Linked DNA regions of Oryzias latipes. The protein of the gene in region 1 binds, or shares a complex with, the protein of each later gene. Links are inferred from orthologs where the notes say so. Each region holds a gene or a part of one and is shown on either strand. Other genes may lie near its edges.

Region 1 (6,870 bases):
CAGGCTTAGTATTAGCCAACTGATATATATATATATATTTTTTTTTTGCTTATTAGCAAATTTAAAATGATTTTTTCAAAAATGTTGTTTGTCTCTTTGTAGTACAAAAGTCATATTTCGAACCGTGACCCAAAAATTGAGGTTTGAACTGAATCGAGGGGAAAGTGAATCACTGCATCCCACTTAAAAGAAGGGGTTTCACAACAGAAAGTACCGCTAGTTTTAGTAAATATATAGGAGTTTTTTTAATGTGTAGAGGAACTTTTCTGCTTTTTCATTTGCATACTTCTCAGCGGTTCCCTTCAGACTGGACATCTGTCGCTCAGTATCCTGAAGTTTGGCCTCCTTATCGCTCAGGCTGTCCTGAACATCTTTTACTTCCTGCAGGCTCGACAAAATCGATGCCGACTGCGAGCGAGCGCCTGGAAAGAAAAAAAGAGGAGCCAAGTATTGAAACTGATTTGATTTTCCAAGGAAACAGGAGTCGAGCGTTGATCTCACCTCCACTCAAAGTTCCCTGCGGGTCAAAGATGTCTCCCCCAAGCGTAACAGTCTTGGTCATCACCTGTTTGTCAAACGCCACTTTCTTTGCGTTGTCCAAAGTGTCACAGACCAGCGTGGAGCCGAACACATACTCCATGGCTTTACGAAGGTCAGACTCGTATCCCACCAGGGACAGAGCTGTGTGAACGTTGTCCTCCCCGACCTCACAGAACAAAGACAAAATCACGGAAAATTACCTACGAGAAAACCTAATGAATGAGATGTGATTCCTTTTATACACAAGAAAAAGTCGGAGACTATGAAAGCACAGAGTTTTCTCACCAGGCGCTTCGCGGTGTGGATCACTTTGTCGTTGAGAGTTTTGGCAGATATCTTGTTGAGAGGAATGATGGTGTACCTGCGCTGTAGCTCTCCTTTCTCCAGCAGCTTCTTACCAGTCACCTAAGAAGGAAGGATTCAATCATTTAGTCACAAAGATTCTGTTTATTCACCTGTGAAATAAATTTAAAAAAAAAACTTTCAAAAGGTCTACCTCTGTGTCTACAACAATGTTGTAGAGCCGTCCACCTGCAACTACCTCCAGTGCCGTGGCATAGGAAACATCACTGACACTTATGAGATTAGCTAGAAGGCCCTTCACTTTGCTTCGGTCCCAGCCTCTCTCCGGATCTCTGGGAGACAGCAGAATTTATTACAACAGAAAAGAAGAAAAATGCAAACTGAAGAAAAGAAAAATGACTCAAATAAAACATCGTCAAGAGGAAGAAAAAAAACTCAATTCATGGTGGACAAGATAAGAAATTAAAGTTCTATTTCTTAATCAAATCTTTAGATTAGATAGTTCATAGAGATGAAAGAAACAGCAGAATCAATCATTTGTCCACACTTAAAACTTCAAATCAAAATAGTTCCTGTTTATGTTTAAGCTGTAAAATCTTGTAAACTGTTAAACTATTTGGAATTAGCTGTTAATGAATTTATGGATCAATTTTGCCCCACTCCAAAAACCATTATGTTGCTGCAAATGAAAATATGAACAAAATTAAAATCACTACATATGAAATAATTCACTAACTGCAGGCATTTTACTTTTCCAGTCAATAAACTAAACACATCTGCCACCTGGTTTATTTATAGATTTTGAATAAGAATGTTAAACGAAATCTTACGTGTCTGGGCTTATACGCTGTTATGTAAATTAAAATGTACATTTAAAGGCATGATACTCAAACAGATAGAAGCGTTTACTTGTATTCAAAGCGCAGGCTGGGAAAACGAGACATGAGTCGGTCAAAGGTCTCCTTAAGTTGAGCGACTTCTCTGGAAAGCTGTCTTCGTTTTTCCATCAGGCTTTCTTCTTTTCCATCTGCAGCAGCACAAACACAAGTTGAGTCACTAAACAGGCAAAAGCTTTTACAACATTCGTCTTTTATTTTCAGGAGAATGCTGCACCTTCATAGTTGAGTTTGGCCAGCTCCGCCTCCAGTTTCTCTCGGCTGCTTTTGACGGCCTTAAAGGTGTCCTGATCTTTCTTGTAGCCGCTGTCCATCTTCTTCATCTCCGCTTGTTTGGTCTTCAGCTCTGCCTGGGCATGCTTCAGGGTCATTTGGGCCTGTGCAAAGATGGAAATGGTTGGGTTTCGGATCAAATAATTCAACGGAGAAGCAGCAGGTGTGCAGGACGTCAAGCCACTGCACATCAAAAGTGTCTCTTTTCTCCACCTGCTTGGCCTCTGTGTCTGCTTTGCTCATCTCGTTCTTGCAGGCCATCATCTGCCCAGCTAAAGTGGCTTCCTCGCCGTCCTCGTTGGTAGAAAGACCCGCCGACACAGCTTTGAAATGCTGCTCAGCTGCCTCAAGTTCAGCTGTGTTTTTCTGTCCTTCCACCTGCAGTGCCTGAAGCTGTTCGGACAACTTGCTCACTTCTTTTTCCTTCACCACGAGCACTTTCTTGTCCTAAAAAGAATGACCGAGACCAATAAGCTTGATAAAGTAAAAATCTTGCAGCCACCAATGAGAAGCACAAATGAATCCATTACCTCCTCCATGCTCTTCACGAGCTCTTTCCTCTTTTTGGTTTCATCTTTCAGATTCTGCTTTTTTAAGTCGAGACTGCTCTGAGCTTTGGCATCCTCACGCTGCACACTTGCAAGAGACATCTCCAAGGTTTTTAATTCTCCGTTTACCTCCTTAAAATAAACACCAAAAGTGTGTCAGAGCCACACAAAACATACAAATATTTTTTTTCTTTTATTTCTCTTTCAGTACCTGGTCATTTTTCTTCTGAAGCTCTTGAATCTGAGCAGAAAGCTCCTGGATTTTGCTCTCATTCTCTGAAACTTTGGCCTGCATCTTGACAATGTTGCCTTGCATCACCTTCAGATTTTCAGCCGACTTGACTTTAGTCTCCTCGGCACACACAAACAGCCAGGCCACATAAAGTCGTGACAAGTGCTGGATCTCACGCATCAGCTTCTGGTACTCCAAATAGGAGGATCTTTCCTGTGCATCAAAGAACATTTAAAGCATATCCTTAAATCATTACACAAATGTTGAAATAAAAAATAAATAAAAAACATTTAGCTCACCTCTTGCAGCTTTTGCATAGTTGGAGTAATCTCTTCATCCAAAATCTAAACGTCAGGAAACATAGAACAAAGTTTGCAGCTGCTTGTTTCCCCAAAAACCACAAGAAACTTGAATAACAGATGGTAGACATACAGTCTGAATCTCTCTCAGCTTGGCCTCTTTCTTCTCAATTGTTCTCTGTGCACTGATCTTTTTACATTCGTACATTCTGGTGCCTGCTGCCTCCTCAATCATAGCAAGAATCTAGAGACAAATAGTATATTAGTACTAACAAAAGTGTTTCTATTATACTTTTTTTTTCATCAAACAAAGTACATACCTCTGGTGGTTTCATATTCAAAACCTTGGTTATTCTTCCCTAAATAAGTAAAAAAAAAAAAAAGACCCCAAAGGTCAAACGAATGATTTTGTTTAGCAATTTCTGAAAACTCTCAATGTTTAAGATGCAAAGCTGACCTGCATGATGAGGAAATGAGGGTTGTTAACGTTGAGGCCAACAGAGCAGAACAAGTCCTGCACCCTGGTGTTGTTGGCATTGACCCCATTGATCAGATATTTGTTCCTGCCTCCTATGACAACCTTTATGAAGAAAACGTTTGTGATCAAGTTTTAAAAAATGCTTTATAAATTGGGATATTAAATAATTGTGTACTTTCCTGACCTGTCTGGTTACAGTGATCTCATCGTGGGTTTCAAACCCCAGAGGGCTCTGGCTCTTATTGGAGTTGTCAAAAGTAATAGACACAGTGGCCTTGGTGATGCCACCCTGGCCGTTCTTGTAAACCAAGTCCTGAAGGTTTGAAGCTCGAACCTTTTAAATAAAATAGAACAGAATTACTGTTTTTTTTGCTATTAAAAGAAGGCAAAGCTGCTTTTTTTTTTACTTTAATCAATGGAAACATGCGGAAACGTCCTTACGTGTGAGAGGTTGGAAATCCCCAAAAGGAAACATATCGAGTCCAAGATGTTGGACTTGCCACTGCCGTTCAGTCCCGTGATGGCATTGAATAGCGGGTCGAAGCCGTTAATTTCTGTCCTCTGTGCGTAAGATTTAAATCCTTCGATAATTATTGATTTAATGTACATCGTTACTTATCTTGTCTTGCCGAAACAAACGCCACAGAAAATATCCGTTTCAGCGACAAGTCAGTTAAAAGAAAAATGCGGCGAGCAAAGCAACAGCCCAATGTTTATATCAAACCAAAAGACTGTCGTCTAACTTGAATTTTGGCGGTAAACACACACTAAGAAAACTTTCGGTCGACAGTAGGCCATTCATCATGCCGGAGTCAAAACAAAAAAATCCATATGTAATATAATTTGACAGAAAATTGAAAGAAAATAAACATAAAAGACTTGGTCCGTAATTTGCTATAATTTATTCAGACCAGTTCAATTATGTTTATTTAAACGTTTTGTCAATGCATTTTGTAGGCATATACCGGGGCAGCTAAATCCCTAAACCATCGGGTGATTGGCGCACACTGTACTTTTTTAAAAATACTTTATTGTTTAACACATGTAGAACAAGTATGCAGGACAACAACATTAGCCATAACAGTGAGAATGCCACAGGATTATGAACAGTATAGGACTCCATAATACTTAAGGTTAAATTCTTTATATCTGAGTTTTATTGTCCATTGTGGTTAAAAAGCTGACCCACCAGTAGGATATCTTTATTAAAACAATTATTGTAAAATAATGATTTGTTCTTGTAAAGTATATACGCTATTCCAAACAAAAGAGTTATGAGGGGAAAATTTGTGAGTAAGTGCCCATGAAAGAAGAATCTGTCTGTGAAAAGCAGAGTTTAACTGGGATTTTGTCAATATTATAATGACAAAGGAGAAAAAAATGGAGACCATGTGTTAGCAAAAATGTGATGAGGGAAAATATTCCAGATGGAAAGTGGAATTTTTAAATATGATTTAATCAAGTTTATTTTAAAGTATTATTTAAAGAAGTAAAATTTAAGAAAATTTAAGCCTCCTTTTTTATAGTTCATTAATACAGATTTTTTTTAAATAAATATGATTTTTCCAGATGAAATTTAACAACATTTGGGCAATAGATTTAAGAGTCTGATTGTCCAAGTGTAGAGACAAAGCAAAATAAGTAAGTTGAGAAATCCCTTCTGCTTTTGAGAGTAGAATCTTCTTTCTCAAACTCAACTCTCTTTGAAGCCGTTGGTTAAAACGTTTTGGGAACGAAGTTTTTTTTTTTTTTTTTTTTTTTTTTTTTATTGAACAATTGCAACATACAAAACAAGAAAATACAACAATTATGCACATATAATGTACAATAAAATTCTAAATACAGAACAAACATGTTGCATTCTTTAAAAAATACTAATTATTAATAATAAACACAAAAGGGAATAAGAAATAAAAAGAAACAAAAAAAAAAAAAGAGAAAAGAGAAAATGCGAGAGTAAATCTATGTCAGCGGTCCAAAAGATTTACAGATGCTAATTGTTTTTTGAGCTTTTGTATTTTTTGAAGCAGAAATTAAGTTTAAATAACGCTGCAGTTCCAGTTTGAACACAAAGAAATCCGGTTTTTTATTGGAAAATTTTCTTTTGTGTATATGAAATTTAGCGATAAATAATACCATGTTTACACAAAAGAAAGCATCACGGTCTTTGACATCAAAGCTATGAAAACCAAAAAGTATGTTTTTATAATAAAGTTGTATGTCAGCAAAAATAGAATCGGTGATAAATTTGTGAATGTTTTTCCAAAATCTGTATGTAAATTCACAAGACCAGAATAAATGAGAGCAGGTTTCAGGTTGTTTCTGGCAGAAAGTACAACTGGTGTTTATGTCAGCCTTAAATTTAGTTAAATAATGCTTTGCTGGATAAAATCTGTGTAGGAGTTTAAAAGAGATTTCTTTGACTTTATTTGTTAAGAAGTATTTTTGTGGTAAAGACCAGACTTTTTTCCAATCAATGTTAGAAGTGAAATTAGCCCAATAAAAGAACGAAGTTACTGAGCATCTTTCTAAACTATTTTTTTTAGATAATGGCGCCCCCTGTGGTAACAAAACTGATCTGAACAAAACAGAATTACCACATTTTTCTTGACAGCAGAAAAAAAAAATGAATTACTTATTCTTGACTGTAGAAATGTGTTGTATTTTTGTTTGTTTGTTTGTTTTTGTGTGTGTTCAGCTGTCTATTATTATGATTCTTGTTATTGTAATAAAATTATTAATATACAGTAATAAAGTGAGCCCTTCAAGTAGATGTTTCCTTTTTTGTAGCTTTGTAAATGGCTATTTTTGTCTAAGACAAAGCTTACATTTTTTAATTCATTGCAAACTTTCACACAAATTCCTAACCTGCATTTTATATATAAATCATATTTTTCAGACAAAAGTATTACAAGTAAACATCCTTTTTTTTAGGTCACAAATTTGTTTTGGAAATGTGTACTTTCAAAAAATAATAGAAATAATAGTTTTACATGTTTTAGGAAGTTCTAAAAGTTTACAAATTATGAAAAGAGGGTCAAATATTGTTTTCTCTGATATAATTTTCTAATTGTCTGTGTGACCCTGCAATGGACTGGCAACCTGTGCCGTGTGCACCCAGCTTCACCTGACAGTATAGGCCCCAACAACCCCATGACCTTGAAGAGGTGGGATGACTGCCACCTCAAAACTAAAAACTACACTTCAAAAACCGAATCTTAATGAAGTAAAAATATCCTCATCTAAAAAAAGGCTTTCTCCAAGAAATATTTTTGACAGCAAAATACTATTGGTTTAAAAA
Region 2 (6,203 bases), on another chromosome or scaffold:
TGTTGTCTGTGTGTGATGGACTAATAAATGGCCTAAGATGAAGTCCAGCTGCACCTTTCAGGAGATGTGGAAAGGCTCCAGCATCCCTGTGACCCTGAACGGTGCATATAGAAGATGGATGGAAAATACAAAAGAGCTATGAAAACAGGAGAAACAGATAGAGGGAATGGATGCATAGATACGGGTATAAATAAACAGATGAGCATTAGGCTAGCACACTGACTATATGTGAGAACTGGACTGAAACTAGTGTGACGTCACTCATTGAAAATGGTTTACTTCTGGCTCCAACCAAACCAAGTCAATTCATTTGCCATTTCTTGGATGCCACCTCATTGGAACCAGACAACATCCAAGTCGGACTGAGTCCGTGTTCTATGGTGACCACCCTCTCCAATCAGGAGTGAACTTGTTGGAGGGCCACACCCCTACCACGTGAAAGCGGGAGAATCTGTCAACTTACTTTTATTGAAGTATCTGACTGGTCAGTTTATACTCATTCAGACTTGCAAAACAGAAAACAAAAAATCCAAAAATATGCTTAAAAAAAGTATCAGACCAAGAAAGTTAGAATAACCGGAGTAAAAGCAGTTTATTTCTCTATAGAAGTCTATGGGATTTTGGTTTCTTGAAGCCAGCAGGTACTTCCTGTTTGGAATGCTAGGGGGAGGGGGGGGGGGGTCACTCAGTCCAGTTCTCTTATACAGTCAATGGCCTAGAAAGAAAGCGTGAGAGAAGGAAAATAAAACATTGCCAAGGAGGAAGGGAAAAATGCATTCTAGGAGATAAAAATAATGAAGTCAAACTGTGTCTAATAGTTTAGGGTTTCAATTGAGCTGTTGAGTTGATTGTGGTAAAGATCTGGTGTAAAAAATGTTTCACATCTGAAAGAATTTCCTTAAGAAAACTGACGTTTTTTCATTGAGACGCTGCCCTCTAGTGGTCATAGGAATATATTTCAGAATGAAGGTTCAGATTTACAGGACTGTTGCTTGAATGTAAAAAAACAAGAGTATAACTAATGGACATCAGATGACATCACTTTAAATAGATTTATTTTACTCTAACATTTAAGAAACACTTGGTAAATAAAACAATTCCAATACTACTGCAACTATTCCAGGAACCCCATGTCCTACCCACCAGTCACACGCGCACACACCAACCATACTAAAAGCAAAGACAAAGCAAAAATTCAAACCTCTCACCTTACAAACTGAATGGCATAATCCCTGATTGCCAAAACACTCCGACTGAGAACACGGAGGACCGGTTTCCCTCGACTCTCTTTATTCATCATCAGTATGGCATAGAGCAGCTGATGGAAGACGCTGCGCAAAGACTACACAAAGAACATTGTGTTATCATGATCAATCCATGCCCTAAATATGCCACAACTTCCATTTTAACATGAAGTCAGGATACCACAAATTATTTAAATTGCATTCACCAAATTTTGTAAGAATAAAAGGAGAACAAAGGTTAGCATTTTTGGTAGGAAACACAAAAACCCTCATTGCAAACATAAGATTACACATCTGCAGCTCCTCTGATGTTTACTGCATTAAACTGAAACCTTTCTTTCTGTTATGTATCATTTATGATGTACAATTTTGCAACACAAAACCTCGTTTTTTCATTCATTCTCATCAACATCAGACATTACGCCATTTATGATTAACAAATCTTTTTTGCAATGACGTGTCCTCACTAGTGACGTGGTTAATCACCCCTCTTTCCCAAAAAGGTTTTTTGATTTGATTGATTCATTTAAGACCGTTTTCTATGCGAGGCTGAATGCCTGTCTGTGTTAAGTTAGGAAGGAGAGTTTCTGGAAAACATCTGCTTCTGAAAACTTGGCCTCACAGTTTTATCGTAGAAACACAAAACATGCTAAATCCCACTTAACCCTTGTGCTATCTTAGATGACCCCCCCCTTCCATTGACGTGTTCTCCCTACCATGACAAAGGTGGATAAAGGTGGAAAGATTTCATGTAATCCATGGACACCAGTGAAGATCACAAATCATTGAAGAAAAAAGGTTCAGAGCACTGTCTAGTGGGTCTAGATGACCCAACTCCCAATGTTAAAGTGCCTAGGATAGCACAAGGGTTAAGTAGACCAGTGTTTTGTAACCAGTGTGCTGCGGGGGATGGTCAGGTGTACTGTGGGAAATTACTAATATTTTATTTAAAAACCCACACAATGTCAATGCCAGCCCCCCCAGTGAGTTTATAGAATCTGTCTGTTGGAAAAACTGTTGTCAGTTTAAGGACAGCGTTTTCTATTGTTCCAATTTGATTGAACTGTTGTTGGAAACACTGTGAAGAAGATTTTTTTTGTTTTCAGCAGTGACGTTTCTTATTCGTTTGCTGCTGAAGTTAACAGAAAACCTTTTGAGTGCAACATTGTTTAAAGTGGCAAATATTTCTTTTTAAAATCTTTGCCTTTTCATCAGTTATTTTTTAATTCTGATCTCTCCTAAACAAAAAGGTATAAAGCATGACGATTTTTATTTTATTATATCCAATTACAAGACAAGACTGTGACCAAACAATATATTAAATAGTAATAATTGTGGTTTGATTTGTGAATTGATGGTCTTTCTTTAGTAATCGAATCAGATCACCTGTAAGCCTGTAAACTTATCTAAAGAATACAGATATTAAACAGACAGAGCGTTTACAAACTGACCAGAAACAGAGGTAACTGGACCTTACTTCTTTCTGGTCTCCATGTTTTGCTAAGCAGAGCAGCTCAAGCCCATAGAAAGCCATCTCTGGAATGCTCCTCATTTCAGTCATGTCTCTGCACAGGCAAGAAGATCAGGCTGCTTTCATGGATCATTTCTTCCACATATCAGAGAGTGGCGTAAGAAAACTCACCGTGGAGCAGCAAAGGTAATCTCACCAAGGACAGGTTCAATGTGAAGCAGCTTACAGAAGATCTGCAAAGACCAGAGGATTTGATCTACTCACGCTGCTGTGTGGTCTGAAGAACCGGGGGGGTGGGGACCAGAATTACCTGCGTGAAGCTGCTGGCGGTTTCTGGCCGGTCTTTGAGTGGAAATGTTTGGAGGAGCCTCAGAAGGCTGTGGACCAGAAAAACGGCTGCTTCTCTGATCTTCATCAGATCTTCGTTTGAGAAATAAATATCCTCCTCCTCCTCGTCCTGTTCCTCAGCTTCATCCATTTCCATCTAACAACAAAAAATCTTTTCGATAAATGAAACATTACAAAGACCTGTCCAAAATGCAATACATCAGCTATATAATCATTTAGGTCATTTTTCTTTCTAAACATCACAACATATTGCGTAAAATGTGAGAAGTCCCACCACTGACCAGTGGCGGTTTTTGATATGGGCGAGGTGGGCGGTGGCCCAGGGCGGCACATCATATGGGGCAGCATTTTCTGTGCCGACAGTGTAACACATAGGGAAATAGCTACGTCAAAGAGGAGACTCTGGCTTTTATTTTTACATGCCTGCTACAGTCGGCACTTAGCGCTTTTATTTTGACACATCAGACACTTAACATCACACCCATATCTTCATCCACTCCCATCTCCACACTTATGGTGCAAAAAATAAAATAAAATAAATAAAAAGATGAAATAACTAAGAGTGAAACAACGTAAAACAGCCACATGAAAAGGCACTCAGGCAGAAGAAAAACCCGTGCTCAACCCAATTTCGACCAAAGCAGGCAATGGGGATTATTTCCCACAATTCCCCGCTCCGACACAGCGGACCTAACGTGCACGTGACCACCGCCCTCTGCTGCAAGACACTTGCGGCCCACGCCTCTTTGAGATAGACTATGGAACATACCAAGTCAAAAAATTCGAGAGGGGGGAGCAATTCACCGGTGGCTGGATGAATCACGCTATCAGGTAACTGGGAGTCTTTCAGTCTAAAAATCAACTCTAGGCCACAGCTGCGCGCTCCCGCCATAGAGACGGAGCCGCGTACGTCAGAAAGAACGGGAGGGGAGGGGAAGGGTGGTGGGCGCATCTGTGAGGAGCGCAGCCTACATTTTGATAATGTCATTATTTACCAACTATTGTAGATATTGTTATTACGCGTCTTTTCTGTTGTTTAGTTGGTGTCAGTATTTGACAAAGACAGCAGGTAATGCAGAAAAACAGCTGCACTTTATGAGATCATAAATAAACTATAGATCATTTTTTTATGAATGGATGGAGGTTTTTTGGAGGATTTCTATTGTTAGTGTTGGACAAAATTAGGGAAATGCCAAATATTTTTGGAGTAATCCCACTGATGAGTTCTATGATTTAGTTTGTAATGTTTTATAAAACCCAAAAATGATATTCACAATACGTTTGTTTGTTTTTTTAGATCCAATCGCTTCGAATTGTTTTACAAAGACACACAGGACGTCGCACACCAAGAAAGTATTGCTAAAAATGATGCAGAAGTCCAACTCTAACAAATGATAAAAGAGCAAAGAAAATGGAAAGACATGATTTTTTATTTCTTATTATTAATATTTTCAGGCTTTGTTTGTTTTGTTTCTGCGGCATCTCCATATTTGTATAATTTGTACAGAATACATTTTGATGGAGAGCAAAATATTATACGTTATTTAAGCTTTAACTTGAGTTATTCTGGATTAGAGTTCATGTTTTTATTCATATTTATGTTCAAAAAGTTCATTTTTCAGTATTAAATGTTTTAAAGGTTTAAAAGTTTAGCTTTTTGTGATCAGTAAATGTTTATCTTGTTCAGCCCAAAACCTAAAGCATGTTTTTAATTTAGGCCCCTGTGCGACTGAGTTTGACCCCCCTGTAATACGAGTCTAGACATTTGTGATGGGGCGGAGCCATCCTTTTTATGTCTTCTCATTGAAGCGGAACCAGCCTTTTGTCACTGAGGCGGAGCTGTCTTTTAACGCTGTTTTCTTGATTTACCTTTTTGATCCAACCTCATTTATATTGTATTAGTTTGCATTAAACACTGGAGGTGTCTTTTGTTTCTAAACCTAAACTTTTGTAATAACTTCTGAAGATTAGAGATAATGTTTGAGTTAACTCTCTACACATGCGGTAACAGGGCCTTCATTAAATAATAAATAACCTACTGTCAATAGATGACTGTAGTAATATAACCCAAAATGTGATGTCCACACATGTGAACGCCAGGTCTTCAGAGGTTAAAGGTTGCATACAGAATCTCACATCCACAGCATTTTTGTCATCAATACACAAACAGGCCAAAGTAAAAGGTTTCTTCAGTACTAATGTCGTTGTCTCTACTGTCCTGAAGGGGCTCTGTACCTGTGGAGGCTTTTTCTTCTGGGCTTTGGCTCGTTTCCCCTCGCCTTGAGGATTTTTCATCCCATCCTTTTTGCGCTTTTTTCCAGAGTCTTGAGGCCAGCAGTGTGAGGTCAGGTCAGAGCAGGTGTCCAACAAAACTTCATGAAAGACTTGGTTGGCAATGCTTCCTTTAAGCAAAAAATAATAACAAATAAACAACAGGACCAAGTCTCAGTTAAAATATGCTTTTAACCACAGAGTTATGCTGCATTTGAAGAAACCTTAAGGTTCCCTTACCTGGGATTTTCAATAGCAGCAGGTAGAGTGAGGCAGCATACAGTCCACCCACTCTGTTCTGTGTGTTGGCAGCTCTGGCTTTAGCCCCCAACACATAGAAAGAAAGCACAGCCACCAAGGCCTTGATTGATACCCCATTCTCCCTAAAAATGCCCCAAAAGTTCTGCAGAAGAAGAGTGGAGTTTTTGGTTAAATATTTTCCATCAGAATTTCAGGAGAATCAAATGTGCCACTTTTTTTTTTTTACATGTTTTTTACAGTTGACCACATGTTTTTTAAACTTTTGCAGCTGTATTTATTTATTTTATATTTATTTAATACAAATCTTATTTTTGATAATTTTCATAATAATTGTATTAATAATTTTAAAAATATTTTTTTAATAATTTAATATGAATGTCAGTTTTGATGTCCTTTTTTGATGTTATATTATATAGATTCATTCTGAATGTCGTTTTTGCTGCCACAGATAAATGAGATTTCCCCAATGTGGGATTAATAAAGTCATCTATTTCAGTTTCCTTCTGCTTTCAAGGTTTGTGTTGGAGAACAAAGGAAATACAGTCAGAGATTCCAGTGTTTGCTCCAAATCATCTTTATAAAATAAGAACTGGTTTAATAATGACTGG

The links. Proteins that work in one complex are often made in the same cells at the same time.
Region 2: the proteins of smc2 (region 1) and ncapd3 are in contact, whole or in part, in a cryo-EM structure (PDB 9F5W), measured with the Homo sapiens proteins. The link is inferred for Oryzias latipes from reciprocal best matches to the Homo sapiens genes SMC2 and NCAPD3. Residues at the interface, in NP_001036015.1 of Homo sapiens: Arg112, Ala122, Asn123, Asn124, Thr125, Arg126, Leu218, Lys222, Arg225, His229, Trp940, Asn942, Ala943, Glu944, Phe948, Arg981, Met985, Arg986; in NP_056076.1 of Homo sapiens: Asp31, Met72, Ile80, Pro127, Gly128, Ala131, Phe135, Pro137, Asp141, Lys235, Gln237, Gln240, Leu1121, Asn1196, Asn1200, Pro1203.

Annotation. Positions count from the first base shown.
Region 1 is NC_019859.2:11,203,685-11,210,554, reverse strand, and holds the start of smc2 (structural maintenance of chromosomes protein 2), read right to left. Parts: upstream 4,338-6,870; 5' UTR 4,179-4,337; coding exon 4,011-4,178; intron 3,904-4,010; coding exon 3,754-3,903; intron 3,672-3,753; coding exon 3,549-3,671; intron 3,451-3,548; coding exon 3,412-3,450; intron 3,336-3,411; coding exon 3,225-3,335; intron 3,137-3,224; coding exon 3,092-3,136; intron 3,006-3,091; coding exon 2,772-3,005; intron 2,693-2,771; coding exon 2,543-2,692; intron 2,460-2,542; coding exon 2,226-2,459; intron 2,117-2,225; coding exon 1,957-2,116; intron 1,871-1,956; coding exon 1,753-1,870; intron 1,176-1,752; coding exon 1,037-1,175; intron 946-1,036; coding exon 826-945; intron 707-825; coding exon 502-706; intron 423-501; coding exon 287-422; intron 1-286. UniProt on the Homo sapiens protein: Central component of the condensin complex, a complex required for conversion of interphase chromatin into mitotic-like condense chromosomes.
Region 2 is NC_019873.2:3,916,919-3,923,121, reverse strand, and holds part of ncapd3 (condensin-2 complex subunit D3), read right to left. Parts: intron 5,738-6,203; coding exon 5,575-5,737; intron 5,466-5,574; coding exon 5,299-5,465; intron 3,200-5,298; coding exon 3,026-3,199; intron 2,949-3,025; coding exon 2,887-2,948; intron 2,810-2,886; coding exon 2,722-2,809; intron 1,343-2,721; coding exon 1,209-1,342; intron 1-1,208.